Linked DNA regions of Rattus norvegicus. The protein of the gene in region 1 interacts with the protein of each later gene in a pairwise test. Links are inferred from orthologs where the notes say so. Each region holds a gene or a part of one and is shown on either strand. Other genes may lie near its edges.

Region 1 (10,128 bases):
TTTTTTTTTTGAGCTAGAATCTCTGTGTAACCCTGGCTATCCTGAAACTTGTGTAGATCAGGCTAGTCTCAAACTCAGAGATCCACCTGCCTCTGCCTCCCAGGTACTGAGGTTCAAGGAGTGCATAGCTACCCCACCCAACATACACACAGCCTCCTAGGTAAATTTTGATCCTATCAAGATGACAATGATCACAGGTGGCCATGCTTTTGGTCCAGTGTAGGTGAGGGGGGTGGGAGACAGGGAGTGAGAAGAGGTGGGATTTCTTATACAATTTTTCTTGCTGTACACTCAGAGCACTTCCCTTTCCTTATCCAACCACATCTTTGGGGCAGCTGAGGACTAGCACTGTACAGAGATAAGAAGGAAGCAGGATGCCCCAAGGCCCTTTCTGGCTCCTTTCCTAAGGTAACCCTTGTCTTCTGAGGCCCTACTCTTAAGGAGAGTGAGGACCAGCAGGTCATGACAACCAGCAGAGAACAGGGCAGGGAGGAGGGGAGAGGGGCTAGCCTGTGACTGGGTTAGACTGTGTCTGAGGGCATGGGTGTTGGGAGGGAGGGAGGGCTGGGGTGAAAGTGGTGGTGGGAGTTTCACCTTAAGAGACCTGGCTGGGACTGAGAAATAGAACGCACACTTGGAAGGACAGCATTCCAGACCTGAGGGTATTCAGGGGTTTGAGGCAAAGGTAGGATCATATCAAGGGGGCTGGGTACCAGGACTGGCCAGTAAGGACGGTTTTGAGGTTGTTGCCGCTTCCAACGGTTCTGAAATCATAACTCTGAGAGCACTGAGGTTTGAGAATTTATAGAGTTCTATAAAGCTTTATTAAGTCTGGCCTTATCTCTAAAATAGAAACATATAAAATCCCACACATTCCCTTTCAACATTCTTACTGGAAGACCACGGCTTCTCTGGGAGAACCCAGAGCAGTCTTCTCTCTTATTTCTTGGCATCTTGGTCAAGGATAGAAGCCAGTTCGGCCCAACTTAGGTGAGTGAGATATTTAATCGGTTAACAGGAAGTGCTTATATTCAATACAGTATCTGAACACCAAGGGAGAGAGGCCAAGAGTGGGCAAGCTAAGGGCTCATCTAAATCAGCTCCATTCCCTGGCCTCCTGCTCTAGTGAGGTTTGCATATCCCTGGCTGCAAGCACCCGGGTTCTACGACAGGGAAATGGAGCTCTCTGGTCTTAAACTGCTTTCCAACCACGTCTGCATTTGTTGGGTAGGTGACGGTTCACAGGCCAGGTGGGTACAGGCGCCACAGCACACCTTGAGAGATGGCGGACCTGGGGTCTGCCGGATTCAAATGACTTGGTCTCGTCCCTCATGGCATATGTACAACTGAGGGCCCCTTGGGAAGGCAAACTGGCAAGCCAGACACTAGTTGTCTTGAGAGGCAAAAGGGAAAGGCAGAAAAAAAAAATCAATCAGCTGAGAAGATCAGAGGTGCAGACACCACTGGGCACCTAGAGGAGGTGAGGAGAATGGGGATCTTCCCTGAACCCCTTGCCAGGGAGCCGGTAGAGTGGAAGGGCCAACCAAGGCAGCAGAGCGGGCGACAGGAACATGGGAAGGGGCAGCCTCTGGATGGACTTTTCTTCTTGGAGCCCAGTGTGGAGGAGAAAGAACATGCCTAGCCAACAGAGCAAATGTAAGTACCAGCATCTCCCCTGTGGGCTCAGGCCTGGGCAAGGGAGACAGGAGCTGCAGGGCCTGGGGAGAGAGAAGGCAGGGTCAGAGGGACAGCCAAGGAGCAGGCACTGGGGATTGCTGGGTGGGTGGTTAGTCAGCTCCTGATGCTGAAGTTGGATCTTATGCCTGGGTCAGGGCCAAACAGCACCACCGTGAAGGGAGTGGGTAAGAAAAAAAAAAATGGAGAAACCTGCTTCAGTGTGTAATTATCTGCAGATCCCCAGCTGAGATGGTGGGATGGCTCAGCAGTCATCTCTTAATAGACAACTGATGGTGAACAATGGGGCCCTGTAAACATGGGTGTAGCTGGAGCTCCTCAGGTGGTAAAGGAGAGACATGGACACTTCCAGGAAGTCTGTCTTACTCTGGGCACTCTGAGGACAGCTGCTGGGGAGGGGCTGTCACAGCTTTCATAGAGAAGGGCCCTCCTTCCTCCAGATGGAGCTTTGGGGCACTCACCATGTCTCAACGTTACTCAGAGTCCAACAGTTCAAGTAGCATGTCCTCATCATCTTTGAACTGAGGGTAGAGAAGGAGAGAGACAAAGGAGTGGTCAGACCAGCCCTGAGAATTCCCCTTTCATTCTGGCTCAGCTTTCCTCAGCCTGGGTTAGTACTGGGACCCGAGGTGAGGTGGCTAGCCCTCTCAACGGGACTGTCAGTGACTACCACAAGAGGGTTCCTTGTGACAAGGGGTTTGGCTAAGACCTCAGACGATGGCTTCTTTTATCCAACCCTTAGAGAAACATCTGCATTTAGTTCCCCTTCTATTAGCTTCTGGTGCCAGGGTTGAGGGAATATAGAGCTAGCCCATGCCAAGACCAGAGACCAGGATCACCCAAGACTGCCCACTCAGTCCTTGGGGTAAGAGGTGCTTGCCTTGATGTGGTACACTATCTGCCAGAACTCGGAGTTACTGCTTCGGTACCTTTCCTCAGGGTATAGCTGCCACATTAAAGGCAGCTCATACGGCACCAGCTGACTTGGGGTCATGGAATCCCCCAAGATGACATCTTTCTGTCGCATGATCACCTGGAATTTTCCGTTACTCTGCAGAGGCAGAACAGAAAGAACACAACCTTTGCCTCCTGCTGACTACTGTTGGGCTCCTCTGAGCACACCACCAGCAGCCATTCTGTCACTCGGGGGGCGTGGGGCTATCCCCACAGCCTGAGCACAGACACCAACCCTGGACCCAACTCTATAGCCCATGCACAATCTTAGGAACTCTGGCTGGACCTGGGTTTAGTCATCCTCAGGGTGCTCTTTTCCTGCCAACCTCCTGTTGCTAGGGTAAACCATGCAGCCCTCCGGTTTGGTCCCAAGAGTGTGTATGGGGAGGGTCATGCATGCACAGCAGAGAGGACAACCTTGGGTGTCATCTCTTGGACATTATCTACTTTTTCTTTCGTCTATTTACTATTGAGACAACATCTCTAATTGGCTTGGAGTTCACCAAAAACACCTCACAAGAAAACAAACAAACAAACAAAACCAAAGCCCAACCCAAACCAACCAAATGAAAACTGGATGGTTTGGCTGGTCAGCTCCAGAGATCTGCGTGTAGCTGCTTCCTGAGTGCAGTCTCCATAGCCATCCTCATACTTACAAGACGAACACTTCGGCAACCTTACCCAGCCTTGCCAGGTTATCTTTTTGTCCAGTGTCCTCTTTTAAATGAGGTCTCGGTCCATGGACCTGCTGTGGAAACTGTAAGTGAAATGCACTGTCTTTCCTATCAGAGGGTTAAACGAGATCAAGGAGCCACCACCTCTAAAGAGGTTGGCATGGGACCCATGAGCAAAAATCCCTCCTTAGAGCCCGAAGTTTTCTAAGATCTAAGTATGCATTTAAGGTTGCGATCTGTTTTCAAAGTTATGCTTCGCTCACTGACCAACAGTGCAGCTCTGAGTCACTCAACCACATAGGCATGGAGTTGACCAACGGGTGTAAGGCTCTGGACCACTCTGGCAGGAATACAACTTCATGTCTTTGGATTGTGTGATCATTCTCTTGAGGACACCCTGCACCCCCCCCCACACACACACTCATTTCTAACACTTAGAATCTGGCGACAGCAACATTTCTCCTTCACTAGCATGGCTCCTCTGGGCTATGGCAACAGTATCCTCCGTTACTGTCTTCAGATGCCAGGGTTATGGAAGTCATGGCTGCTAGATTCCCAATGCTTTCTCTTCATGGGCAGAGGGAGTCCAGGGCCCACAGAAATCCACAAAGCCTACACCAGAAGTGTCTCTGCCTCCCTCCACTGTTCTGTTCACACCCCTCCATGATCCATGTCGTCCCAGCCACAATGTGATGCCTGGTTTGTGGGGTTCTCACAGTCTACGCAGCAAGCCTCACCAAATCTGTGAAGGGCGAGCTCCCTTTTGGGCAGCCCTCTGTTCAAATGTAGGTCTATAAAGAACAAACACTACATAAAAACCACGTTAGAGTAGTGATGAAACATACAGTTTTATTAACTGACAGGAGTTAAAATTCATTGTTTTGAAGCAGGACCTCATCATATCTAATTCTTGCCAGTTTGGAACTTGCTCTACAGGCCAAGCTAGCCTCAGACTTACAGAGCTCCACCTATCTCTGCCTCCCAAGTGCTGAAATCAAGGGAGAATACCACATAGGCACCACATGTAGTCAGTTCCTGTCCATCATGTGCATCCTGGGAAATCAAACTCAGGTCATTGGGTTTGGTGGCCGTAGTGGCTATTCCTGGTTGTCAACTTGACTGTATCTGGAATGAACTACAATCCAGAATTGGAAGGCTCACCTTTGATCCTGATCTTGAGGCTGGGAGATACAAGTTTCTAACCTGGATCTTGAGGCACAGTGGCTATGTATCCCAGGAGCTTAAGGCAAGGAGATCTCTGAGTTCAAGGTCATCTGGGACAAAACAAGTACCTGACCCAGGCATGGGAGTACACAACCATTAATCTGGGACACCCCTTCTGCTGGAGATTTACATAAGGACACTGGAAGAACGGAGGGTCTCTTTTTTTGTCTGCCTGCCTTGTAGCACTGAGCCACCACTAGAACCTTGAACTTCCATTCACAGCTGCTACTGACCATGGTTGGAGAGTTGGATTACAGACTAAGTCATTGACCAATTCTCCCGTAAGTTCTATGGCTCTAGAGAACCCTAAGACAATGAGAAACCTGGTCTCAGCCACCTCACCAGCTCCTGAAAATGAGTTTTATCCACCGATTTGGGATGGAAAAAACAAAACGGAAAATTCACCACCTAAACACACAAAGCATCTTCCCCCAACACACACACACACACACACACACACACACACCCAGTACAAGCAAACCATACAAGGCAGACCAGTTAAGACCTGGTGGGACCAAACAGCACAGGCCTGCAATGCCTACTACTCAATAAGCTGAGGCAGGAGGATGGATCCTAAGTCCAAGGCCTACCTGGGATACAAAGGGAGCTTAAGGTCAACCTAAGCAGCTAAGACCAAGTCTCAAAACTGAAGACCTGTACAAAAGGGCTGGGCTGTGGCTGTGCAGTAGAGTTCTCGTCTGTTCTGCACAGAGCCCTGGGTTTGCTCGTCAGCAGTGCAGGGGAAGAGAAAGCAATTTGAAACAAGACGACTCAAAATGTGACAGGCGACCACAGTCTGTGAGTTCACAGTGTGCTGACGCCCCCTCTCCACAGCACAACTCACTTCCCCCGCCCCCAACCCCCATGCCTACTTTCTTCCCCCACAGGACTCATCTGCCAGCCTAATCATTACTTTGGTTACCCCATTCCCCACTGCACCTCCTTCCCAAGAATAGGGCTCCTACCATACTCCCTGCATGCCCTCAGTGCAGACCTGTGTTTGGGATTTACACTAAGCACTCTCAGGTGTTTAACAAGTGCACTTTTCCCCCAACGTGAGACCACTCCTGTGTAATGATCTGCGGACGACGAGATCAGTTGAATCTGTTAAGTCAGATTGTGGTGCCAGGTGTGTAAGCTCCACCATTCACAGCCCCTGAGTCAACAATCTAACCACTGTTACAAATTATCCTGTTTCCTTATTAAAGCACACATACACGGCTTCTTCAGTCATGGGAAATAAACCCTGCCTTGGAGTTCGCTACCAGGCTCCTCCTGTTCAGACAGCATCTACCACACCTCTGGAACACTCGTTGGCTCACGGTTTGCATGAAAAGCTAGTCATTAACCGGATATTAACAAGAAATAGCCACCCATGTTGTCTTCACACATCTGACTTAATGTTTAAAAAAAAAAAAACTAGATATATGTAAAGTTAGCGTTGTAAAATGACAGCAAGAATGTAAATTTAAGAGCCCAGAACTGTGGCTCCACCATTTACTAGCAGCACCCCAAGTCTGCCAGGAAGCCCCACCATCTACTAGTCACTCCCAAGGCTCACAATCCCCAACTTTGCCGGAGTGGAGCCAGTTCTCAGGCCCTGGCGTACCACGCAACGTCTCAGCAGTTTAATTTTGCTTTTATAGCTTCTCTTGGCTTTACAAGTGGAATACTTTCTGCTGGAAAGTACCTCTAGAAGAGATTTCTTTTGAAAGCACCAATGTTCATTAAGACCCATGCCGAGGACTCCACACGCAAAACAAAGTTAAGTCTTATTACCAACGTGGATACTACTGGCTACCCAATTTTATGGTTTAGGGAAGCCTTGTTTCACCCCAAATCATAATCACACACCCCAGGCAATGTGTGAGAGGGGCTTGTTCACTGAACTCGGGGTGCCCCCACCCTCCTCCAGGCAGGCCCACAAGGCCCGACTCATCTGGGGTTTCCCTAGTCCTCCTGTTTCAGGCACAAGGGACCCGCTGTACTCTGGTCTCCTGTTACCAGGACTCCCAAGCCCAGACAGGGTATACCCCTGCTGCCCGACCTGCTAGCCCCAAGGCGGTTGGTACCTTGATGACTATCGGCAACCAGCTGCGACGAAATTCATCCAAGTACACGTGCTTCTCCCAGAGCCACAGGCGGTCGGGGTGTGGGGGTGTCTCTGGCCTGTATGCCAGCTGGTTAGCCATGGCATCCGGTCGGAGCAAGAAGCAAAAAATTGCAATGCCAGTCCGTGATAAAGCGACTTCCTAAGCAGAGAGCATAAGAAACTTGCTATTTATCACCACCAGGTGTGGGCCTGTGCCCCCTGGAGCGAGGCGGGGCGGGGCGGGGCAGCGTAGTGTGGGTGGGGCGAACCACAAGGATGGTATGCAGGACACTCAAGTGGACTTCCACCAGGTCTACGTTTGCAGACCTGACCCATCAGACCTAGGGTTCTTCAAGGCCCCCAGGAGATGTTGCTTCTCTCCAGGTACACCCGGCCACCGGAAAGGTATCCATGACCTGTCAGGAAAAACAGCCCTTTGCGTCCTTTATGGTGAGACCCCACGGTCCTAGCTACTTTGTGTGACTGCTCAAGCCACACACACCCCCATGGCAGAACACCCAGAGTGAGGTCCATCTACATATCTCCTGGGATCAGAAACCAGTCCGGTTCTCCATCACCTTCAGCCAGTCCTTTTGGGTGTCACAGGCAGTTTCCTTTGCAAAGTTCAGTCCCCTCCCTCTTCCGCTCATGACTTTTTCCATGGCTCTGATGAGGCTGTGGTCTTCTAATAAGTCTTGCAAAACATACTTTTGAAAACATGGGTTTACTGTCTTTGTCCTCCGACTTAGAGAATGCATCAGTCCAGACCCAAACTTAAAAAGAAACCCTCCCTACACCCAAGATCAATGGATTTGGAAAGTCTCTGAGTTGCTCAACCAAAACTGTCTCGTTGTAAACAAATAAGGAAAACCAACTTTCATTATTTTACAGTAACGCCTGCCCATTAAGGCAATTAAGAAATTAATGGAAAACATGGAAAACCCAACTCTGGGCTGGATGCTTCAAACAGCCCTTCAGCTAGCATCTGAGCCTTGGCCTCACTGAGGACTCACGGAGGAAGCCATTTGTGGTCTTCGGAAGGTCAATCCCCCAGAAGTGTCAAAATGGCCTGAGGTCAGCCTGGTGGGTTCAGATTAACCGGAAAAAGAAACAAAGAAAAGACTTAAGCCCTTCAAGCGCAGACCTTGGCCTTCAGAATTCAGACTAGCTGCTTTTGTGCCCATTTCCCTGTAGATGACTGTCTCCAAACCCAGGTAACTTCGTAGAAAGATGAAGACTTTTGGAATAAGCTTGGTGTGGAAGTTCTGGGTGAGTGCAGCCTTAGCAGGAGGATAATTACTTATTTTTTTTTTAAAGATTTATTCATTTATTATATACAAGTACACTGTAGCTGTCTTCAGACCCACCAGAAGAGGGCACCAGATCTCTTTATAGATGGTTGTGAGCCACCATGTGGTTGCTGGGAATTGAACTCATGACCTCTGGAAGAGCAGTCGGGTGCTCTTAACCGCTGAGCCATCTCTCCAGCCCAATTACTTATTTTTAATTCATTATTTTGTGTTTGTATTTGGGTGTGCCTGCCATGTAGGGCTCGGAGAAAAACATCGTAGGTCCTTGTAGGACCTTATAGGTCCCTGGGATTGAACTCAGGTTGTCCTAGGCTGGGTGGCAAACACTTTCACACGCCGAGCCTTCTCACTAACCCGCTGGTGGGCACAGCATTTGTGGCAAGGGGAAAGAGTCCCCCAGAAGCCAGGATGGCCCAATCCAGACACAGACACGGCCCCAGGGAAATCTGCTGATTTTCTTCCTCCACTCTCTGCTTTCCTATGTGGTGCTGGAGAAAGCGAGGGTTCTAGGATTCCGGTCCCTTTTCTTCTCTGAAAATATTTCTGAAAGTTTGCACTCAGGCCTTTCGATACTGAGCTTGAGTAGACCCCAGTCTTGTGTGGTGCTTCATTCAGAAAGGTTTCAGAATAACAAAACAGGCGGATCCGGGCGTGGGGCAAGTGTCCACTTTGATACTTTTAAAATGTAAATTTCACAACGGGGGGGGGGGCGGAGGAGCGGGGGGGGGGGCGGGGAGCGGGGAACAATAGCTATTATGTGGACTCAAGCGGGAGGAGCCTAAGATTTCAGGGCTCCAAGCCTGTCAGCCAGAGTTTTAGAATTTTCTGTTCCCTTTTGAATCTTTCTGTTCTTAGTCCTTGAATTCTCACGCGTTAAGCGCCTGGACTTCACAAAGCAGCCATCCTGCAAGGCCCCCTGAACTCTGACATCTTGGCGTCCTGCCTCAGGTCTTCTTTCGCCTTGACCGCTATCACCTGTGAACTTGGTCAGCCCTTTGCTAGTTTGGCTTCGGCTGCGATGAATGAGGAGCAGAAGCTCCTCCTCCTCGGATCCTTCAGACAGATCATTTCAGAGACCGAAACCCCTGATACCAGCTCAGGAAAGCCTGTATAGCTTTTTCTTTTTTTTTTTTTTTTTTTTTTTTCGGAGCTGGGGACCGAACCCAGGGCCTTGCGCTTCCTAGGCAAGCGCTCTACCACTGAGCTAAATCCCCAACCCCTGCCTGTATAGCTTTTAGCAGGAAGTTTTTGCACCAAGCATTTTGTGGAACGCCCTAGTCAGGAATTCCAATTAGTGGCCAAAAGGAGGACCCGTTCTAGAGCCTCCGGACTACAAGTATGGTCCTTCCGGCTAACCGCGCAGCATCACCTGGCGCTCGTAAAGAATGGGGTTGTGAGTCTTCCCAGCCCTCTGGAGTCAGACTCCACAGGAACAAGAACCCCAGGTGATTCCTGGGCAGAACGAGGGGGTCAGGGGTGTGCTGGGGTAGTGGATGGAGGTGTTTCAGAAGGGGGAGATGACACTCTTAGCAAAGCACCAAGCTTTTTGCATTTCCTTGTGACACAGGAGTTTAGTTCTCTCGTTTTAGGTCAAACTCAAGTCTACTACACAAAATGTTTGTTCTTAGAGGAAAGTCCTGGTAACCAAGGCCACCCTAATCCAAACTTTGCCAGTGAGTGATACCTCTGGCTGTAGTGGGCCCAAGTTTCTGGGTAGAAGTGGGTCTCTTTCTGAGCTTTCTCTGTTCTGTTGCATTTCTATGATAAAAACCACACTTCTGAATAAATCATTTATGAATTTTGAATACCAGGGAGACTTTGCCTTTCTTATTTTTTTCAAAATTATTTTAACTGCCTAGGGGTGTTTGCATTTTGCATTTAGTGTCTGGGGAGGATTTGATTGCCATCTTACTGAGTGTGTACATCAGGCAGAAACTAGCCTTTATTGGGATTTAACAACATCTTCATTAAAGCGTTATTTTTGTTTGGCATAGTTATATTGTTTTATACTTTTGTTGAATGGTATGTGTGTGAATGTGTGTGTGTGTGTGTGTGTGTGTGTGTGTGTGTGTGTGTGTGTTGCATGCACATTAGAGGTGTGGGTGCCTGTGTAGATATATACAAAGACCAGAGTGGAACCTCTGGTGTCTTCCTCTTCTCCCTGTATTGCCTTAAGACA
Region 2 (10,333 bases), on another chromosome or scaffold:
AATCGCCAAGGGAGCCTGGCTCACTACAAAAGGAGCTGCTTGCCCCCTCCTCTCTCTCTCTCTCTTGCTCCTCTCACGTTCTTACTCTCCCTTTCTTGTTCCCCTGCTCTCTCCCCACTCCTTTTCTCCCTCCCTCTCCACGTGTTCATGACTAGCCTCTACTTCACTCTTCTCTTTTCTCTTTCTCCTCCTCCTCCTCCTCCTCCTCCTCCTCCTCCTCCTCCTCCTCTTCTTCTTCTTCTTCTTCTTCTTCTTCTTCTTTTCTTCTTCTTCTTTCTCCTCCTCCTTCTTCCTCTCTCTCTCTCTCTCTCTCTCTCTCTCTCTCTCTCTCTCTCCCCCTTTCTTTGCTTCTACCACAGTCCTGACTCCCCTCCACATGCCCTAAGTAAACTCTATACTATACCATCGTGTGGCTGGTCCCTCAGTGGGAAGGGAAGCCTCAGCATGGGCCCGCCGAGGCACCCACTTCCCCCACACCTGACTACACCTCCATAGAACATATCCCCTTCTCTTTATCTTTTTATAAGCACATCACTCACTCCTCTCCCTTACCCCCAATAAATCTCCTTTATTTACCAGATTTGTTGCACGGTGTGATTTCTCAGGGGGCCACCTTGACGTGAGCCCACCAGGTACTCCCCCAGATCTATTTTATACGTTATAATAACAGATGTACATCTTTGTTCTTGTAGCTCCTCTGAAAAATTATTAGTGGACAGTCGGAACTAACACCCCACTTACTAATGAAACATAACCCATCACTTTAATTATATTCTCATGTTTTCTGTATCTTTTGACATATCAGTCCCAGATTGTCTACAGACGATAGGTGTGTCCGAACCTTATGTCGATTCTTTACAGATTTATTTGTTTCCATTTTATGCATATGAATGTTTGGCCTTCGTGGTTTTTTTTTTCGTGTGTTTACCCCACATGCCTGGTGCCAGTGGAGGTCAGAAGAGTGCATTTGATCCCCTGGTACTGGATTTATGCATGGTTGTCAGCTGCCCTGTGGGTGCTGGGAACCAAATCCAAGTTCTCTGTAAGGGAACTCTTAACCACTGAGCCATCTTTCCCCAGGCTCTTACATAAGTTTTAAAGAGTAATCCCTAGGGTCTGGAGAGACGGCCTAGTTGGTAAGAAGGCTTGCTGCTCAATCGTGAAGACTTGAGTTCAAATCCCTGCAGCCACATATAAAAAATAAAATATATCAAAATAACTGTGTATGGCTGTGCACACTTGAAACCTCGGTACTGCCTAGGGTGGAGCCAAGATGTTCCTGGGGCTTCCTGGCTACCAGACCAGCTCCAGGCTCAATGGGAGATCTGTGGCAAGGGAATAGGGTTGAAGAATGACAGAGCAGGATACACGGTGCCCTGCTCTACCCTTCAGGTATGTGCGCACACACACAAACACACACACACACAAATGCACACACACATCAATTTCCTATCAGTTTTCATATAATAATTGCATAAATCTTTCCTTTTTATTCTTTTATTTTATACATATTTAATTAAAATAGAATTACATCACTTATGCCCCTTCTGGTCCTCTTTTCAGCTACTCCTCAGTCCCATCCTAACCTCCTTATTCCCTCTGAATTCATAGCCTCTTTTACCTTATTATTGTCACATACATTTATATGTATATATACATATATATTTATATACAAATACAGCATTCTGAGTCCATTTTTGTTGTTTGAATGTATATGGTCTTAGGACTGACCACTTTGTATTGGATAACCAATCCAGGGGCTCATTCCTGAGAGAGACCATTGAATAACTAATCAGGAGGCTCATCCCAGGGAGAGGCAATGTCTCCTTTTTTCAGCAATCAAAAACCTTTCTTTGTTCATGAATTGTTTTTTTCATGGCATCTCAAGCAGATAACGTTACACTTTTTTTTAAACATTTTCAAAGGTTCTTCATGAATGTTTTCTCATGTTAACCTCATTATCACATGCAGTGCAGAAATGCCTACCCCTCCCCCCTCACAGAGGAGAGAATTGAATTGTGTTATACATTTATCTTACTAGTTTAGACTCATGTGCTAAAGACCTACAGGTCATACTAGAATTGAAACTCCTATCCAAAACTATTTCAGAACCTTTATTACAGAAATTTAAAAATATGCCTCTAAATCTTCCTACTGTACGATTAATTCTAAAGCCTTGACAGAAACATTATGGCTCTGGTCATTGCAAGTATAATTTAATATTATATCACATTCATGTGATCCAGAGTTATCAATCATAGTCCAACAAATACAAAATATAACAGGAAAAATACAAGCTTATTATTTTAAAGTTTATTTATGATTCTTTATAAAATGTCCTACAGTATTATATATAAAATGTTCTAGAACGTGAATTTATAAGAGATTCTTGTTGTCCTTCAAGCAAGCTAATTTTTTTCACTGAATTCATTGTTGTTTATGTCTATAGAATGGTCTAGAACATGAATTCATAAAAGTGTTGGGGCAGAAATCTCGGCTTGCATCTGGACAAACCACAACAAGCCAACATAGTTCCACGTGGAAAGGTTTAATGAGAGAAGAAGAGTAAAAAAGGGGAGGAGTAATGGCCGGCCATGAGCACGTGGAGGGAAGCGGGGAGGGGAATGGGGAGAGAAGAGACAAAGGGGAAGAGAGCAAGAGGACAAGAACAAGGAGCAAGAGAGTGAGGAGGGGACAAGCAGCCCCTTTTATAGTGCGAGGCACAGCTGGCTGTTGCCAGGCAACTGTGGGGCGGAGCATACCTGGCTGTTGCAACTGTGGGGATGGAGCTTACACAGAACACCAACAAAAAGAGTCTTCTTGTCCTTCAAGCAAGCTATACTTTTTTCCAGAAATTCATTGTTGTTTATGTCTAAACGTATGGGCTTTTGAAAAAGGTCTACCTGCCATTTTTCAGCCAGCGAGCATCCTAAACACATGCTGAGACGCGTGCCCTGCCCTGAAAAATATTTTGAAGTTCCCTGCCGCCATAATTCTTACTATGACTTCACAGGGAGACTTTTGTGGCTGAGTCTGACATTGAAGCAGTTGGATACTCGCGTGATGCATCTTCCAGCAGGGTTTGTGAACCACCCATAGCCCCACCTTAGGTCTGTACCAACCATCGGGAAAAGTGTGGCCACTGAACCGCATTAACATGTTTCCTGCACTCTAGAGTTCAGTTGTTACCATAACAACAGTACTTTTCAGTTCCTGGAGTTTCTTTTTAAGATTCATTTATGTCATTTCATTTCATGTACAAGTGCTTTGCCTACATGTAGGCAACACCTGCCTGTCTTGTACCCACAGAGGTTAGAAGCGAGCATCAGATCCCCTGGTACTGGAGTTACCGTAGGTGGTTGTGAGCCACCACTTGAGTGCTGAGAGTTGAACCCCGGTCTTCTGTAAGAGACGGAAGTACTCTTGATCACTGAGCCATCTCTCTCCAGATCAATTCCTGGAATTTTCAATAATATTGCTTTTGAATATTTGTTTGGGCCCATTTTTTGAAGAAATGAAGTGGAAAACAGGTGAGAGGCAGTAGACTGAAACTATTTACCTGTGTGCTAGAGAACATCACATTGATGCAGCCAGCACCAAGCCCAGGGACTAATGTCAGGGAGCCCACACCTTGTACCCCTCTTCTTCCACAGTTCGGCTGCTTAAACATTAACAGCCAAAGTGCTGAGCATGGCTGGTCCACCAAAAATAAGTACAATATTATTACACAATTATTCCAATTCAGGGCAACATGAATTGATAGGTAACTTGTTCCCTTCAAAGCAACACAATCGGTATTCCTCTTGCCAATGTGTGCCAGAAAACGAAAATCGAATAGATCTTTTTGGCACTTGATCTTAGCCAAAGAGTGAAGAAGCCATTGTGTTGAGGCGTGCGCGCGTGTACGTATGCATGTATGTGTGTGTTGCTGTGTTTACAACCCCCGTGGCCTTTCACATCCTAGGCAAATGCTCTATCATTGAGCTATACTCTATCCTAGCAAACATCTTTTGGAGAAGACAGAGTCAAAAGAACTATACCCATGTATACCCTTTATTAAACCCAAAGTGGGCCGTGGGCAGGCTCTGGCAAGATGAGGGAGACCAAGGACTATAAACAGAAAGCAGGACCTTAGAGGAAAGAACAAAGGACCAGGTCGCTGGGCTAGAAGAAACCTGGGATTAGGGGTTGGTTTAACAACAGATTCATAAAACAAGGCTTTCTAATCAGAGCAGAGCAATTGCCTTTAGCTACAACCTAGGACAATTAGAGTAAAATGGTAAATCAGATACAGTATTTTGTAAAAAGTCCCTGCCCTGGGCTCATCGGATCACCAGGATTTGGTCGGAGGAAATGCCGGCTCGTGGCGCTTTCCAACTCCTGGCAGGGCGCCAAGATCTGAAGTCCTCCGGGATACTCCGGCCCACTTCCAAAGCCCAGAACGCGCTGCACTGCCTCTCTTTAATGCATTGACTGGGGACAAATGTGCATTTAAAATCTGGCAGGGAGGAGTCTTGGAAATTGCTGGCCTGGGGGCTGCAGCGATGGGCTTTGAGAAGGAAAATAACAAGGGACGGCTTTCTCTCCAGAACGAATCGCAGGCCTGACCCATATCCCCGCGGGGTGCGGAGCCGGCAAAGGGGCAGGCGGGGGGCCGCCAGGGACGCTCCCCGGAGCGCGCTCAGGTGCATCAGGCGCTGCTCCACAGCTGCTCCCGCGCCGCCCCGGGAATGGGCCTCGACTGTAGCCCCAGCTTTCCCGCCCGCAGGCTGGGGGCGGGGCAGCCCCAGCCACATCCCCCCCCCCCGCCCCCACATCCTCCGGGCGCTGTCCGTCCGGCGTTCCCAGCGAGAGACATGGCCGGGAGCAGTGAGAAGGCGCCAGACTCCGGGCGAGGCGTCGTGGTAAATGCGAACTCCGGATTCCCGGCTCCCTTAGCTCTCTCCCCTCCCCTCTCCTCCCTTCGGGGCACCCCTCCACTCCCGCCCCCCAACCCTTTAGCTGACAAGCGTTCGGGAGAGAACCGGCCAAGGCTTTGTTCCTCCTCCGGGCGGAGACCGCTGGTTTTCTCGCATCCAGGCCTCCCTTCTCCACCCGGTCTGACGAAACTCCTACTAAAATCACTCCTTCATCCAGAGTTCCCAATAACTCCTCCCTTCCCACCCTCCCCGCGGGTTCCTGGCCTGGAAGCCAGCCTCCTACCGGGTCCCCACTTCTGCTATCCACAAGGACTCTAGCCTGCCAGCCGGGGTTTAGGAAGATCCCCAGCACGCAGCTCTAGTGGCCTTCCTTTTAGCACTGCCTCCTCACTTCAGTGAGTTTTGAGTTCTGTTTTGAAAACGGCCACTGAGAACTCACTCTTCAGGGCAGCCAAGGTGCAAAGTAGCGCTAGTGAATGCAATCGGAACTCTGAATCTGGGGCGCGGCTCTGCCGAAGCCAGCAGCTAGAGTGTCCTATGCCTTGTCTGTGACGGAAGACAAACTTGATGTGTGAAAAACCCAGTAGTGTGTCAGGATGGAAGTGGGGCCAGGTCCAAACCTCTTCAACTTCAGGGATCGTTCATTCAGGTGTCAGCCCGAGGGCTCCCAGCTCCCACAATATTGAAATTAAACTCTAGCGGATGGTAGTTGTGAGTCCAGGATGGGGTGAAAAGGTGTGAAGGTGGTGGGCGGGGCTGATTTACCATTAAGATCCTCTTTCCAGAGCTCAGCGTGTAATTCGCAGCTAATCTGTTTATGGAAATGAATGGATTTAATTAGAATGAGTGGGTTGGGAAGGAAACACCTCTCAGTTAAATAGAACTGTTCAGGTTGAAAGGTGGGGCTCAGCTCTCAATTAAACAGCAGGACCTTCCTTCCCTCAAGGAGGAATGCCTTTTGTCTGCCGTGCCAGGTTCTGCTCCTACACCTGGTAACCAGATAAACTCTTCTTCCTGGAACTTGCATTCTGGGAAGGGGCACAGGGAAGCCCTGTGAAAACACAGTCTGGATAGTTCAGCCAGCCATTCCTGGAAAGGGGAGGGGAGCAGTGTCTTTACCCATATGATCAAAGAGTCTGCAGTGACATTTCACCCAAGATCAGAAACAGAAACGGAAGGTAAACCATGTGAGGACCCATGGCACAGAGACACATGTCAAGGGCAGAGAGGAGAACACAGTTTCTGATTTGTGCTTTTACAATAAAAACACTCCAGTCGCTGTGGGTATGATAGACCCGGTGGGAGGGGGTGAAAATATGAAAGATGGGGGTTGGGGATTTAGCTCAGTGGTAGAGCGCTTGCCTAGCAAGCGCAAGGCCCCGGGTTCGGACCTCAGCTCTGGGAAAAAAAGAAAGAAAGAAAGAAAGAAAGAAAGAAAGAAAGAAAGAAAGAAAAAAAGAAAATATGAAAGAGGAAGTCATTAAGCTAACTGCCTCCCAAATGACATCTTTAAGGTTCGCAACCTGAAAGTCATACTTGAAACGACTCCAGAATGTACTAAGGTAGATTTGGAAAACCATTGTCAGGTTAGTTTGGGGGATAAATGAAGAATGGAATAAAATAAACTGGGAGAAATAAAATCAACTGTTAAGAACAAACGCCCGGGGTTGGGGATTTAGCTCAGTGGTAGAGCACTTGCCTAGGAAGCGCAAGGCCCTGGGTTCGGTCCCCAGCTCCCGGAAAAAAAGAACAACAACAAAAAAAAAAAAGAAGAAGAAGAAGGAGTGAAGAACAAACGCCCGGGGGGCTGGGGATTTAGCTCAGTGGTAGAGCGCTTACCTAGGAAGCGCAAGGTCCTGGGTTTGGACCCCAGCTCCGAAAAAAAGAACCAAAAAAAAAAAAAAAAAAAAGAACAAACGCCCGGAACGCCCCCAGATGTGAGAGGCACATGGTGGACACAAAGCCCACCAAGAATGAAGCGCTGGATGGGAGAAAGCAAGCAGGAGAGGAGTCGATGTCTAGGGAACAGTTTGACGGAAGTGGACTAGCCAGGGTCATGAGATCGTCAAGAGTGTCTGATGTTGCCGGAAGAGCAAGTCGGATGGGGATGACCAGAGGCCATTAGTGAGGAGCACCTTTCTTCTTCTTCTTCTTTTTTTTTTTTTTTTTTGGTTCTTTTTTTTTTTCGGAGCTGGGGACCAAACCCAGAGCCTTGCACTTCCTAGGCAAGCGCTCTACCACTGAGCTAAATCCCCAACTCGAGGAGCACCTTTCAAATAGCCACCTCGTGGCCAGTCTACTTACAGTACCACGGCAATGTGGAACGCCTTTCAAATTGTGAAATCTAGAGTGCCACTGTACCATAGATGCTAGATGCTTCCAAAGTCAAGTGGCACAATCCAGCTTGAGGTGTAGCTCATATAAAACCCATCCCCATCACCACAGATTATTAAAAATCAAAAGGAGATAAATCTAGATGTACTCATAGGATGCTTAGATTACTAAAGTCTAAAAAGCCTAAAATGAGAAAAACTGTAAACACAATATTCCTATCTATTTGTGTCTACAGAGGCCTTATGAAGGACCCATGGGCATAGCAAGAGGTCAATAAGGAGAGAAGAAGCTAGAGTGAGGCTTGGGCACTGTGAGTAGTTGCTGAACTGCCCAAGTGCCCCCTAACGTTGACGATAACCAGTGTATGACAGAAACACCCTCTGCATATGTTAATTTCTCCAATAAGACTTAGTAAAATTCGAAGGAAATTCAGGTGCTGAAGAAAGGAAAGGGTTAGGAAAGCCAGAGGCAAGAAGGATGTAGGCAAAATAGCCAGTCCTTAAGGGTAGGGTAAAACAAAAATCAAAAAGGAAGTTATAACAATAAACAGACCTTGTAACTCCAGAGGTAGGGCTACCTCAGAAGACTGGTAGGTTTATGGGAACGTGCGTGTTGCTGGTGTAGAATTAGGATTAAATAGCTGAGTGACGCAATGGAAGGAGCTATAAGATAGACTAGTTAGAAAGGTCAGGAAGGCAGTCTCCAGACTCTCATCTTAGAGTAATGCACCCAACGTGTTACCAATGATTAGGAAGGAAAATCAGGGTCGGGAGAGCTGTGATGCTAAAGATGGTGAGAGGAATGAAGCCGGGAGATTTAATCATGACGTAAGTACAGTTTGTGTGAGAAAAGGGACTATTGAGAAACTGGGAGAGAGCAAGACGTAAGGATAGGGACCATGAGCTCACAGCAAATGGGCACGCTGACACCGAGTTCCCAAAAGTCAGGCCATCTTAACAGTCATCTGTGGAGAGAGAAGGGAACCACGAGCCTTTGTCACATGCTGCTGACGTGTTGGCAATCCTCAGATTCTAGAAGAAAGGGAGGCATGATTGTGTACCCACTATTGAGCCTGCCATTTTCTAATGGTGAGTTCCAAACTCAAGATCATACAGATGAACCCAGTTAATCAAATAGGAGGATAAATAAGAGGAGGAAGAAGCCTGCAGAAGAGGAAGGCACTGTGAAGGAAGTTTTTGTGGTCTATTGAGCTTTTTCCTTGCTTTAGCAGAAGAACCTGGGCCTTCCTTGAACCCTTGTATCCCTGTATTGTAAGAATAGTGTTGGGCTCTGGACCTGGGCCTGCTGATGTTGCTGTCTGGGGTTCTGTGCTGAAGGGAGGACAGCCATAGGCATGAAAACCAATGACAATCGTCTGTAGGGAAGGTAGGACTAGGTGCATGGCCCTTGGAGCGGGACAAGGAGGCTTGAGCTCTGCCCACATGTTTCTGAACTGTTTTGTTGTTGTTGTTGTTGTTGTTGTTGTTTGTTTGTTTTTTGCCCTGGGGAGAAATATCGAAAGGAAAACAATTAGAAAGTGTTCAACATAGCTTTAAATGTGACCAAGAGAGTCAATGCGTTCTGGATTTGGATGTGATATAAAATGACTCAGTTACTGTGTTTGCCGCCTTTCCAGCTTGGAGATGTTTTTTGCCTCTTCAAACAGAGAAATGATTGTGAATAAAGTTAGAGCAAGTTATCAGTGATCCTAAAACTATTTAAGATTCTTTGCTTTTTCTTTTTTGTTTTAACGTTAGTTTAGCCACTACCTAAAGTTCAGAGGCGCCCTGCAGCTCTGAATCCCTCCAGGATTAGACTTACACACACACACACACACACACACACACACACACACACACACACACACACGCCATTTGTGTGCAAAGTCAGCAAAACAGACTTGGAGTCTCATCTCCTATTGTCTTTTGTCTCTGCAGCGAAAACACCATTTCAGATTAACTAGAAATAATGGCCACGTGTGATCATGAGAACAGTTCTAGACACGTGTATGTATTCCTGCTGGATTAAAATTTACTGCTTGACCTAGAGTAGTAAGACTTTGGCAAACAGCACTAAGGTTTTCCTCTAACCGAGTTACAATGTATTTATATAAATGATTATGTGACTTATATAGACAACGGGTGCTTCAGTATACTTACACTGCATAGCACTATAGACTACATGCATTGAATCTTATATTCATTATCTGTCTTATTTAACATTTTCATGTGAGACAGGCCTTGACTTTGTTTTAGAGACAGTAATATGTCCCAGGTCCCATAGCTAGCAGACTTGCCCGAGAGGAGTCAGACTTTGACATCCACATTGCTCATGTTGCCCTGGGCTACTGTCTGCTCTGACTGTTTTCACGTATAGGTGTGTTTCCTAATTTTCCTATCATCTTTTCTTTTTCTTTGGCATTTGTGTGTGTGTGTGTGTGTGTGTGTGTGTGTGTGTGTGTCTGTTTATGTGTATATATATATGTATGTGTGTCTATAAGTATGTATGTCTGTATGTATATATTTGTGCATGTATATATGGGTATGTGTATAGTATATATGTATGAGTGCATATGTGTGTATATTATGTATTTATGTGTGTATATGTGTGTATGTATTTGAGTATTGTGTATGTATGTGCATGTACGTGTATGTGTATATGCATGTATGTGCATGTATATGTGTATTTGTGTGTTTGCATACATGTGTGTATATGTATGTATGTGTGTGTATGTATATGTGAACATAATGTGAATATATGTATGTATGTGTGTGTTGTGCATTTGTTCAGTATTTGTTATGCATTAGTCTTTGAAATCTATTTGATGTCATTCACTCCATAGGTTTTATTTTATCTTATTTAAAGAAAGTGGAATCAGGGCTGGGCACGGTGACACACACCTTTAATCCCAGCACTCAGGAGACAGAGGCAGAAGCAGATGGAGCTCTGTGAATTAAAACCTCAGCCTGGTCTGCATAGCTAGCTGCAAGCTAGTCATGGCTGCATAGTGAGCTCCTGTCTCAAAAACTAAAGAAAAACAAAAGGGGAGGAAGAAAACTACAGTCTCCCAATCTCGTGGC
Region 3 (10,027 bases), on another chromosome or scaffold:
GTTACAGATTTGTAAATAGAACTAAGTAATATCTCTATAAACTGTTTGGGGGGACGGGGCACAAAAGGAGGAGCCAATTAAATAGGACCTTCTAAAATTTGTTAATTTTGTAAACTTTGCTTCTTTTATAAGTTATTCTGTGATTCCTTTTAGTTACTGAGTTTTATTTTGAAGATATTTAAATATTGCACTTGTATAAAAAGTACGATAAATGCAGACTGTTGCAGTCAAAATTTTTTTTAAAGCTAGGATATCTGAAATGACAACTTTCAGTTCAGTATGTCAAGCCAGGACAGAATTTTCACAAATGTATTGTAGTTTGCAAATTCTTATACTGAAAATGTAAGGGGAGTCAATGCAAATGATTTTTAATCTTTTTTTTTTTATCTTTTCAGCAATTTATATTTTTTTTGTGATTTTATGCAATCATATTTTTACTTCGTCTTGACAACTGAAAGCTGTATGATGTTTTTGCCAGAAAAGTACTGTATACATAGTTTTAAATATAACAGATTTTGCTGATATGTAAAAATTTTGCCATTAAAGTTGATTTCTCATGAAAGGAACTTTTCTATCAAGTTGGGAGACACGAGAGCTTAATATATCTAATTTAAAATAATTTCACCGAAATAAACACCATTGCTTTTACTTTGATTATATTTTTTCTTAAGATGCTTTTGTAGTGTTTTGGAGTTTTAGATAATTTTATATAAATTCTCTCCCTGCCTTGCACCATCCTTTGGATATTTGATACCATTCACCTATGAACTAAAGTGGCTGGGTGTGTAAGATCTGTATTCCAAGTGGCATCTTGGGAAAGAAAACCATGTTGTCTAAATTCTTCTTAACTCCTCCCCTCCACCGTTCATTGTGGGCTCTGACATGAATGAAATTCCACACACAGCCTAACTGTAAGTCGGTTGTTGGGAGGAGTCAATCATTGTGGTCTATGTATGTTTGCCCAGAGTAACCTGATTTAGAAAGATGGCATAATAAAGAAAACATTCATTTTTTCATCTGTTACACTGTCTTTTCTTCTTTAATCAAGATTTGGGGTGGGTGTGGGCACTTGTTCATCGCTGAGTATCTGGGCTCTCTCATGTACTGAAATATAGAATAGTGCTTGGTTATATTTTCGTATTCAGAATGCTGATTTTGTCTCATGAATTTGTATAGATTTCATCTAGAAATCAACCATGGAAACAAAATATTAGGATGCAGACAGTGAAGTTGAGGAAGTGGCTGTCACAGACCAATCACAAACACAGGACTTGAAGTCCATCGCTGCTAGAATTCAGTTACTATTTAATCTAGAACTCAAGAGTTCTAGAGGCTTTCGCTAGATTGCTAGCTTTCTAAATATTTAATTAGAAAAGCTTATTCAGGATGTTATGAACAGCATGTAAAGTTCTTTTGGAGAGCTCATTTTTCTAGACATTCTCTACAACTTTACACAAGAAACTGGCATGTGGGGGTTGGGGATTTGGCTCAGTGGTAGAGCGCTTGCCTAGCAAGCGCAAGGCCCTGGGTTTGGTCCCCAGCTCTGGAAAAAAAAAAAAAAAAAAAAACTGGCATGTGAAAACGGCCATCCAGGGGGGCTGGGGATTTCGCTCAGTGGTAGAGCGCTTACCTAGGAAGCGCAAGGCCCTGGGTTCGGTCCCCAGTTCCAAAAAAAAAAAAAAAAGAACCAAAAAAAAAAAAAAAAAAAGAAAAGAAAAAAAAGAAAACGGCCATCCATTAAACTGTCCTGTTATGAATGAGTAAGCCTGTATTTGTTGTAAAGGCCAGTCAATTGTGCCAAAAATTTAGAGGCTGCTCAATGACTTGGGAGGCATCGCCAAGCCTTTACCAGAGTAGAGTGCACCATAGTTAAGCTACCCTAAGAGACTAGGAAGAGGAACAGAGCCTCAAGCACTATGTATTTAATCATATGGTCACCATGAGTCATTCATGACATATGTCATCAGGACAGTGAGATACAGGTCCTGCTCCAACCATCTTGTTAGGGATGGATGGAGATAAACAGACACCAAAGAACAAAAATGTAAGAATGGACCGGGTAGATACTCAGTGTTTCAGAGTTACAGTGAATGTGACCACATGAACCTCCATCCAGATTAAAGATCATCACCTCCCACAGAATGTCTATTCTGATTAATATAACCATGAGGTGCCACAAACCAACTCTGACATGGGAAGACCTCCACAGAGGTGTGAACACTAAGGGTAGAAAACACTGAAGCCCGTTTTAGAAGCTGGCTCCTAAAGTCATGCATTGGTTATTTTGAATATACTGACTTACTTGACAACTCTTACAAACATTAATGAATGCAATCAAATTATAAATAAACATTGCATCTGAAGTCACCATTGATCTCAAAGTCTAGGCACACCGGGAAGCTATCAAGATTATTATATAAGGAGTACAATTTTGTCATTGGTAACAGACATTGTCAACTTTTTTTTAAAATGAGGTTCTTTTCTAATAAAGTGTGTGTGTGTGTGTGTGTGTGTGTACGCCATAGCACACTCCCTGAGGATAGATGACAACTGTCTTTCCAAGCAATAGGTTGTAGGGGCGGAAGTCATGTCATGGGGCTCGGCAGCAAGCATCCTTACCTGCTAGCCATTTCACAAGCCCCCTTGCTTTGTTCATTTCAAGAAAAGGTCAAAGACATGGATAATCAGATTGTCAGCAGTTCAAAAAAAAAAAAGTTGTGTTCCACAAAATCGTGGAACTTTATAATAGCCTTAAAGAACTGATTTTATTGGGGTTAGAGAGATGGCATTGACTGCTCTTCCAGAGATCCAGAGTTCAGTTTCCAGCAACCACTTGGTGGCTTCAAACCATCTGTAAAGAGATCCAATGCCCTCTTCTAGTGTGTCTGAAGACAGGCACAGGGTGTTCATACATAATTTTTAAAAAATGAAAGAAAAAAAGAGAATTGATTTTATTCTGATGGGTGTGTGTGTGTGTGTGCAGGCACTTGCAGAGGCCGGAATGCAGTGTTGGAAATGCCCAGAGCTGTAATTACATGGAGGCTGTAAGCTGCCTGATGTTGGTGTTGGGAACTGAACTTTTATTGGTCCTGTGGAAGAGCAGTGGCCAGTGCTCTTAACTGCTCAACTCTCTGTCCAGTCATCATAATGGAATCTTTACTCACTTCTGCAAGACATCACACTTCAGTGGCAGCAAAAGCACCTTGGTATCGTAGAAAAATGAATGCCATTATTTAGAAATAAATACCCTTGATGAAGCACTGATATTTGGCTTATTACAGTGATCCTGGGAATCAGGAGTCTTGCCAGGTAACATAGCCAGGCCTCATTTCAGGAAGAACTTGTACTTCAGAGCTTCACCTGTAGGGGTGGGATAGAGGACTACATCACTACCATTAGAGTTTGTCGTCAATCACCTCAAATCGACGTAGCAGTTCTATCACTGTGGCGTTTTAACAGTTGGTACCAATGCTCACTTTTGTGAAAAATGGCAATATGTACGAACTTTGGGTATGGAAGGGCCTCCTAATGCTTGGTTTCTGGTGAACGCCAGAAGAGGGCAACAGTTCCCCTATAACTGGAGTTACAGATTGTTTTGAGTCTTTATGCTGAGTAGGGAACTGAACCCAGGTCCTCTGCTAGAGCATCAGGGCCAGCATCAGTGACTTTAATGCCAGTGTTGGGTAAGAGTTTTCTTCCAGGGAATATTTGACAGTTTGCAGAGAAACAAGTTGGTGGTCCTTTTGATGAGTTGTATGTAGGGAGTGTTTTTGTTTGGTTTCAGACCCAGGAACAAATGGCTTAGGTGCATATTTTACATACCAAAGCAGACCTGCTTCCAGGCTCTTCCAGAATCCCTCAGTCCCTACGTAGTATACACTGCCTCCCAAACCTGAATTTTCCAGCACAGGGCCTGGGCTGCCATTCCCCCAGAGGATCTTCACTATATAACCCAGACATTTTGTTTTCTTGTCCCCCACCCCACCCCCTTCTCTCTGCCTGAGAGCTTTCTTTTTTTATCTTCCTCTTCTCTCTCCCTTTTCTGGCCTCCTTCCTTGGGGCCAGTGAACTCACCTGCCCAAGAGCAGCTTCTCAATAAACCTGCATTTTTATATATTTTAATCTGACTCATTCTCCCAGTGGAGAAATAAGTTATCAGTTTACCTCGATAAATAACTAACCAGTAAGAAATGCTGTGGTGAGTTGAAAAAGGGTGGTCTCTATCAATGGACCTTGCTTTGTGTAGCACAGCTATGTGGATAAATTTACCGAGTTTTTAGTTTCCTCAATGTGTACCGGTGTTAGCATCTGCCTGCTAATTTTCTTGTAAGAAGGGGACAGGTGTTACTTTCAGGCTCTGCTGTGGATTCCTACAGGAAGTTTGCCCTTCAGCCTGATTCTCCTTGATCAACTCTTAGTTAAGGTTTCTGTTGCTGGGATAAAACACTATGACCAAAGTCAACTTCGGGAGGAAAAGGTTCAGCTTCTAGTTCCTCAGTCTGGTAGGAAATCAAGGTAGGAACTCAAGCAGGGCAGTAATTGGTCCTTTAGGCTTGCTCAGTTTGCTTCCTTATACGGTCAGACCACCTGCCTAGGTGTGGCACCGACTATAATGGGTTGGGTCCTCCCACATCAATCGTTAATCATGACAATGCTCACATAGATTTCTTTGTAGGCCAATCTATGGAGGCATTTTCTCAATTAAGATACCCTCTTCCATAGCTATGTCTATGTTTGTGTTAAGTTGACAAAAACAAACTAGCACAGCTCCCCTTTGTACTTATTTTAGCTCAGTTTTTTTCCTCTTCTGCATCTCACGGACCCTCAGCGGCTAGGCCTGTCTAGGCTAGGCTGTAAGCCATTTACCCGAGGACTGTGTGTATTGCAAAGAACAGTTGCATAGCTTTGACTCTCAAGCCTGGAGTCCACTCCCGGCTGCATTTAGAGGGTGCTAGGGTCTGGTGTCTTTACTACAAATCCCATAGGTCCGAGGGTGCCGCAGTGACTTCTGGGATCAGTGGTCTCGTAGAAGGGCGCTAGCGGGTAAGAAATTCTTCTTTTCTTCTGTTCGCTTTGCTGAACTGTTAGAACGTCCCAGGATGATTTCATGGGTTTTTATAAAGAATTAGGAAGCACAGGCAGGTAAGGCAGATTAGACTCCAGACAGGATAATTTCCGCTTCCGGTGCCATAGGGCAAGTGGAATGTAAACACGGACCACGGAGTGGCTTTCAGGTAACCGGCTACGGGTAGGCGGTAGGCGGCAGGGGAGAGGGAAACAAGGGGTGAGGGTGCTGCACGAGGGAGAGAGGGACGAGGGTGGCCCGGTGAGGTCCGCAGAGCCCTCAGGGGTGCCTCTGTCCTGGGCACGGGGCGCCGTGGCAGGGTTCTGTGTGCTGGCCCTGCGGCCTGAGGTGCTGTTATAGCGGGCGCTTATTTTTAGTGCAGCCGACGCAGGGTGCAAGTTTTGGATACTGGATTTTCCTTTGGTAGCATTTTGAGGTATCCGGGTCTCTTAATTCTTCACCTCCAGATTCATCTCTCCTGTTCTGAGAGTCGTTGTGACTCTCTACCTCCCGCCGGTGTTTTTCCATCTTGGGTGCCGCATCCTCTCACGCAGTCAGTACGAGAGGACGTTGACTCTGTCACAAGCACCCGGCTTGTGCCCGGGTAAAGTGTCAAGTCGAGCGATTGCTGTGGAGATCATTGTATGGGATTTTTAGAATACAGGTGTTTCGAATTTTAATGCCACGCATCAATTCTGTAGAGCACTTAGACTTTAACTCCAGATGAGAATTAACACCAAACCTGTACAGTTGTGATTTACTCACTTGGTATGTTATCCCGGTGGAAAGTATTTAGAAACTTGGCGCCTTACCTGTCCAAATACAGATCAACCAAAGCTCCTTCTGTAAGCGGTTTTAGTGATAAGTTAATTAAAAACACAACCTAGAGGCGCAAGAAGCGCATAACCTAAGATGAAAACAGTTTAGTTGAGATGTAAGTGGTGTGTTATACAATTCCTCCCTGTAGGTTGTATAACTCAGTAGCCTTGGTTGTTGTTCACAAAATTATGCCATTATGCCAGTTGATTTTAGGACGTTTTAATCACTGAAAAGAGGAACCCAGAAACATTAATTGACAATTGTCTGTATTTTCTCCCCAGCAGCATTTAAGATTCAGAATCGAGTCAGAGCATTACATTTTCCTTGGGGAAGATGTTCATACATGCCTTCCCTCCTGTAAGCCTGGTCAACTTCTATTCTTTAAAGCTCACTTTCCTGAAGCCTCCAGGGTGCATTGTCTGACAGGTCATTGGATCGCACTTGGTAGCACTTACCTGTATTGTATTTGAATTCAGTCTCCTCATCCACAGGCAGTTTGGGAGAAAATATAAACTTGGTATTGTCCTGGTAACACATTCATGCTTTTCACCTTAGTAGGTATGGGGGGTCCAGCCTCGACACAGGATTGGGGAGTTCTCAACTGGAAGCAGGGATATCTGGAAGGCGCATAATAAATATACACAGACTACTTTTGGGGTACAAATTGACAGGCAGTTTTTCAAGGCTTAAAGTTTCTCTTCTCTCTCACTCTTTGTTCTCTCTCTCTCTCTCACACACACACATCTCATGGGCAGGCACCTCATTCTCTCCACTCAGTCTCCACATGCTCGCACATGCTCACACATGTTCTCTCATACTCTCTCATGCTCCTACATGCTCTTTATATCCACCTCACATGCTCTCTTGTCTTTTTCTTGCCCCAGTCTTTTATTGATACCACAAAATCAGGTAGAAAAAAAGATATTGTATAATCATTGCCAAATCAGATTTAAAAAAATAACTACATCCCACGAAGAATTAAGAATTATGAAAGTTTCAAGCTTCCCCTATTCCCAGGCCTGTGACCAAAATAATAATAATTGCAAACTTATCATTATTTAAACTTTAACTTTTGACTTACTATACTTCAGATCTCAGAGCTCCAAGTTCTAGTTGCATTGTTCTGTGAAGCTCTAATGATAAATGACATGGGCAAAGCTATCAGGCAGTGGCCACAAAGAATCAAGTTAACCCTTAACTTAGCAGTTCTGCTAGCTTTTTGCTTCTGCACATTGCACACAATAACACTCCTCAGAGTCCCAGTGTTTTGACTCAGTTTTACTAGTGTAAGATTTTATGTATTCTATACTTGCCTATCCAGGAACCACTCTCAAATGTGGTAGGAAACTTATTTCATAACTTTAATAGATTTTTTTTCTTTCTTAGGGTCCCAATGTTGGCTCTGATTCATTTCCTAATAATTTCTTCAAACTTTCTTTGCAAGTCAAGCATTAATCTGGAACATCGTGCAGTTATTACATTGTTTCCAAGATGAGAACACAGCATGCACCTGGGCCATTAGGGCTGTGCTGTGCTGTGCCCCTATGCCTCAATTTCCAGTTGTTTAAGAATCATTACATCAAGGAACATCTAGTTTCACAGAACTTACCAGAGCAGAAGGAGAAAGAAGTAGGAAAGTCAGATAAAACAAAACAAATATGCATACCAAGGCCAACTGAAAGGCACTCATGCACAGATGAAATCTATACAGCCATTGTGCAGGGCTGAGGTTAGGAGAAATGGGTACTACCTTTTTTTACAAAGAGCTACTGTAGGCTACTTGAGATGTTGCTACTGTAGGCAGTACCTTATTACAGATGGCGGGTGCCCTGGAGGGATGTGTCTCCTGCTTCTCAGGATCCCAGACACCATCCTTTTTTACAAGGAGCTGCTGCAGGCTTCTGAGATGTCTCCATGCTGGCAGTCCCTGTCATGGTATGCTGTCCGTGATGCTGCTTGCTGTTTCTTCAGTATTATGTCTTTTCTACTCTCCACAAGGACTGCGTTAGATTTTTCATCTTTCCCGTATGCATACATTTGTTTGTTTATTTACTTTTCCTTTATGCTGAGTAGATGGCTACAACTTACTTCCCCGAGTAGTGTGAAATCTGGGGACATGAAATCCCTATCTGCTCCTGAACTTTAGAAGTGTCTTCTTGTCCCTCCCTCTTCAAGTTGGAACTTGTCAATTTCTGATGGTCTCTGCCTCCATACTCTAACAGCTTCATTTCTCTTTTGATTTCTATAGCCTTCTATTCAAGGTGTCTGTGGGGAAGAAGGAACATGCTCCGGAGGCAACAGGGTGTGTGACAGAGAGCCTCCCTCTGGGACCTAACCCGAATCTGACCTCAGCATTTAACAATAGTAGCTTAGGTTGGGAGATGGGGAGGGTGGTTGGAATCTCAGTGATTTGTTAACTTTGGTTTTCTCATTGTTCTCATCCTCATCCTTCCCCCTCTCCTAACAGATTTGACCAGTATTTAAAGTGAACACACCAGTAAACACACTAGGTTTTGTCATTAATATATCTGTTACACTGTCTGGTGCTCTGCATTGGTAATGTAGAAAGCAAGTTCCAAATTCTCATTACCTTCAGGAACAGCCTTAAATACAACAGAGCTACCACCACCACGGCCACCTCTTCTTCCTCCTCTTCCTCCTCCTCTTGTATTCTCATATCCTTTGAAGGCAATCTTAAGCATCCATTTTCCCAGCCTGTTCACTCTGTGCCTCTGGATTTGCTATCTATAGAAGCCACACTTTCATTTTTACACATGTCCTTGTTTTCTCCTGGGATGGATGTATATAAAGTGATGTTTCAGACAGAGGAAATGCATTTCCCCATGTGATGATGAGTCCAAGGAGGAGGCTTCCATAGTCCTAATTCCCTAGGACTCCATTATGTATCCAGGATTTCCCATAGTACATGGTTCAACTATATCAGACTATGTACTCACTGTTATGTGGTTGCTGTGATCTGTTACATTTCCTCTTGTTCAGTAGCAGGCCTGTGACCTACAATTCCTTCTGATAGCCACCCTCACTGTGTTGCTGTTCTCTTCCTGTTCCTTATATTCCACTGCAGTCATGTACATCAGTGACCTTGGTATTGCCACATACTTACTGCTGTTGTCCCTCCTCCTCCCTCCCTCTCATAATGTTTGTTGTTTGATAATTTCAAAAAGACCTGAGTTCATTGCTTTCTCCTTAGGGTTACAGATTCCTCCAAGAATGGATAAAATCTAACATGCTCCTGAATGCACACAGTATCTAAGATCCCCCCATCCCCGCCCCGGAGCTGAGGACCAAACCCAGGGCCTTGCATTGCTAGGCAAGCGCTCTACTACTGAGCTAAATCCCCAACCCCTGTCTAAGATCTCTATACCCAGTTGTAGGGATTACCGTGTATCTTAAAGCCCAGCTGTGTACTCATGAGTGACTGGGTTTCTTAGTCCTGTTGCTAAGTACTATCGAAGACTTCCAGAACTGACTTGTTCTACTACTCTTCCTTCCCTTAACCTTTGTATGTCATGCTAGGCTTACAAAGCCATTTTATATTGTTTTTAAACTTTTTTATTTTTGACTTTCCCAATAGTTTTGTTGAGCCATTCAATATGTAAACCTTGTAAAACTCTCCTGTAGTCAGGTGTAGTAGTGCCCACTTGTAAGTTAGCATATGTGAGGTAGGAGGCTAATGAGCTTGAGTTCATCCTGAGCTATTATTCAGAGTTTCAGGACAGCTGTATATATAGTGAGTCTTGTTTCAGAAAGAAAACAAAAACCACTCAAAGCATAAAAATTTGTATTAAGGAGAATTTCAATATTTATAAAAGGGGGAGAGGAGCAATGAGTCATCCATGCTTGTCTCCCAACTTCATCAGGGACCTTCGAAGTGATCTGTGTCACCAGCTCCATGCCATTTCTCACCATTAGTGACTTTGAAAGAATTTCTAGGTATCATATAATTTCATAGCAAATACATTGCTGTTCTTAAAGGAAAAGGCTTATTGAAATTCATACTGTTATTAAGACAACTAAAATACAGGAGTGACTTATTCATACTGTCATGTCTAGTGTGCATTCCTAAATGTCCTTTTAATTTTTTTTTAAGTCAGGAGTAAAAGCAGATATGCACACGAGACT

The links.
Region 2: the proteins of Tcl1a (region 1) and Prtfdc1 interact in binary tests that used the Homo sapiens proteins (3 or more experiments, as listed by UniProt). The two-hybrid records come from large-scale screens. The link is inferred for Rattus norvegicus from reciprocal best matches to the Homo sapiens genes TCL1A and PRTFDC1.
Region 3: the proteins of Tcl1a (region 1) and Ttc33 interact in binary tests that used the Homo sapiens proteins (3 or more experiments, as listed by UniProt). The two-hybrid records come from large-scale screens. The link is inferred for Rattus norvegicus from reciprocal best matches to the Homo sapiens genes TCL1A and TTC33.

What each region holds. Positions count from the first base shown.
Region 1 is NC_086024.1:129,888,957-129,899,084, forward strand, and holds Tcl1a (T-cell leukemia/lymphoma protein 1A), read right to left. Parts: upstream 6,801-10,128; 5' UTR 6,740-6,800; coding exon 6,620-6,739; intron 2,747-6,619; coding exon 2,576-2,746; intron 2,217-2,575; coding exon 2,169-2,216; 3' UTR 2,157-2,168; intron 1,719-2,156; 3' UTR 807-1,718; downstream 1-806. UniProt on the Homo sapiens protein: Enhances the phosphorylation and activation of AKT1, AKT2 and AKT3. Promotes nuclear translocation of AKT1. Enhances cell proliferation, stabilizes mitochondrial membrane potential and promotes cell survival.
Region 2 is NC_086035.1:88,557,265-88,567,597, reverse strand, and holds the start of Prtfdc1 (phosphoribosyltransferase domain-containing protein 1), read left to right. Parts: upstream 1-4,856; coding exon 4,857-4,904; intron 4,905-10,333. UniProt on the Homo sapiens protein: Has low, barely detectable phosphoribosyltransferase activity (in vitro). Binds GMP, IMP and alpha-D-5-phosphoribosyl 1-pyrophosphate (PRPP). Is not expected to contribute to purine metabolism or GMP salvage.
Region 3 is NC_086020.1:56,002,428-56,012,454, forward strand, and holds the start of Ttc33 (tetratricopeptide repeat protein 33), read left to right. Parts: upstream 1-5,042; 5' UTR 5,043-5,107; coding exon of another isoform or gene 5,108-5,142; 5' UTR 5,143-5,234; exon of another isoform or gene 5,235-5,248; intron 5,249-8,137; exon of another isoform or gene 8,138-8,186; intron 8,187-10,027.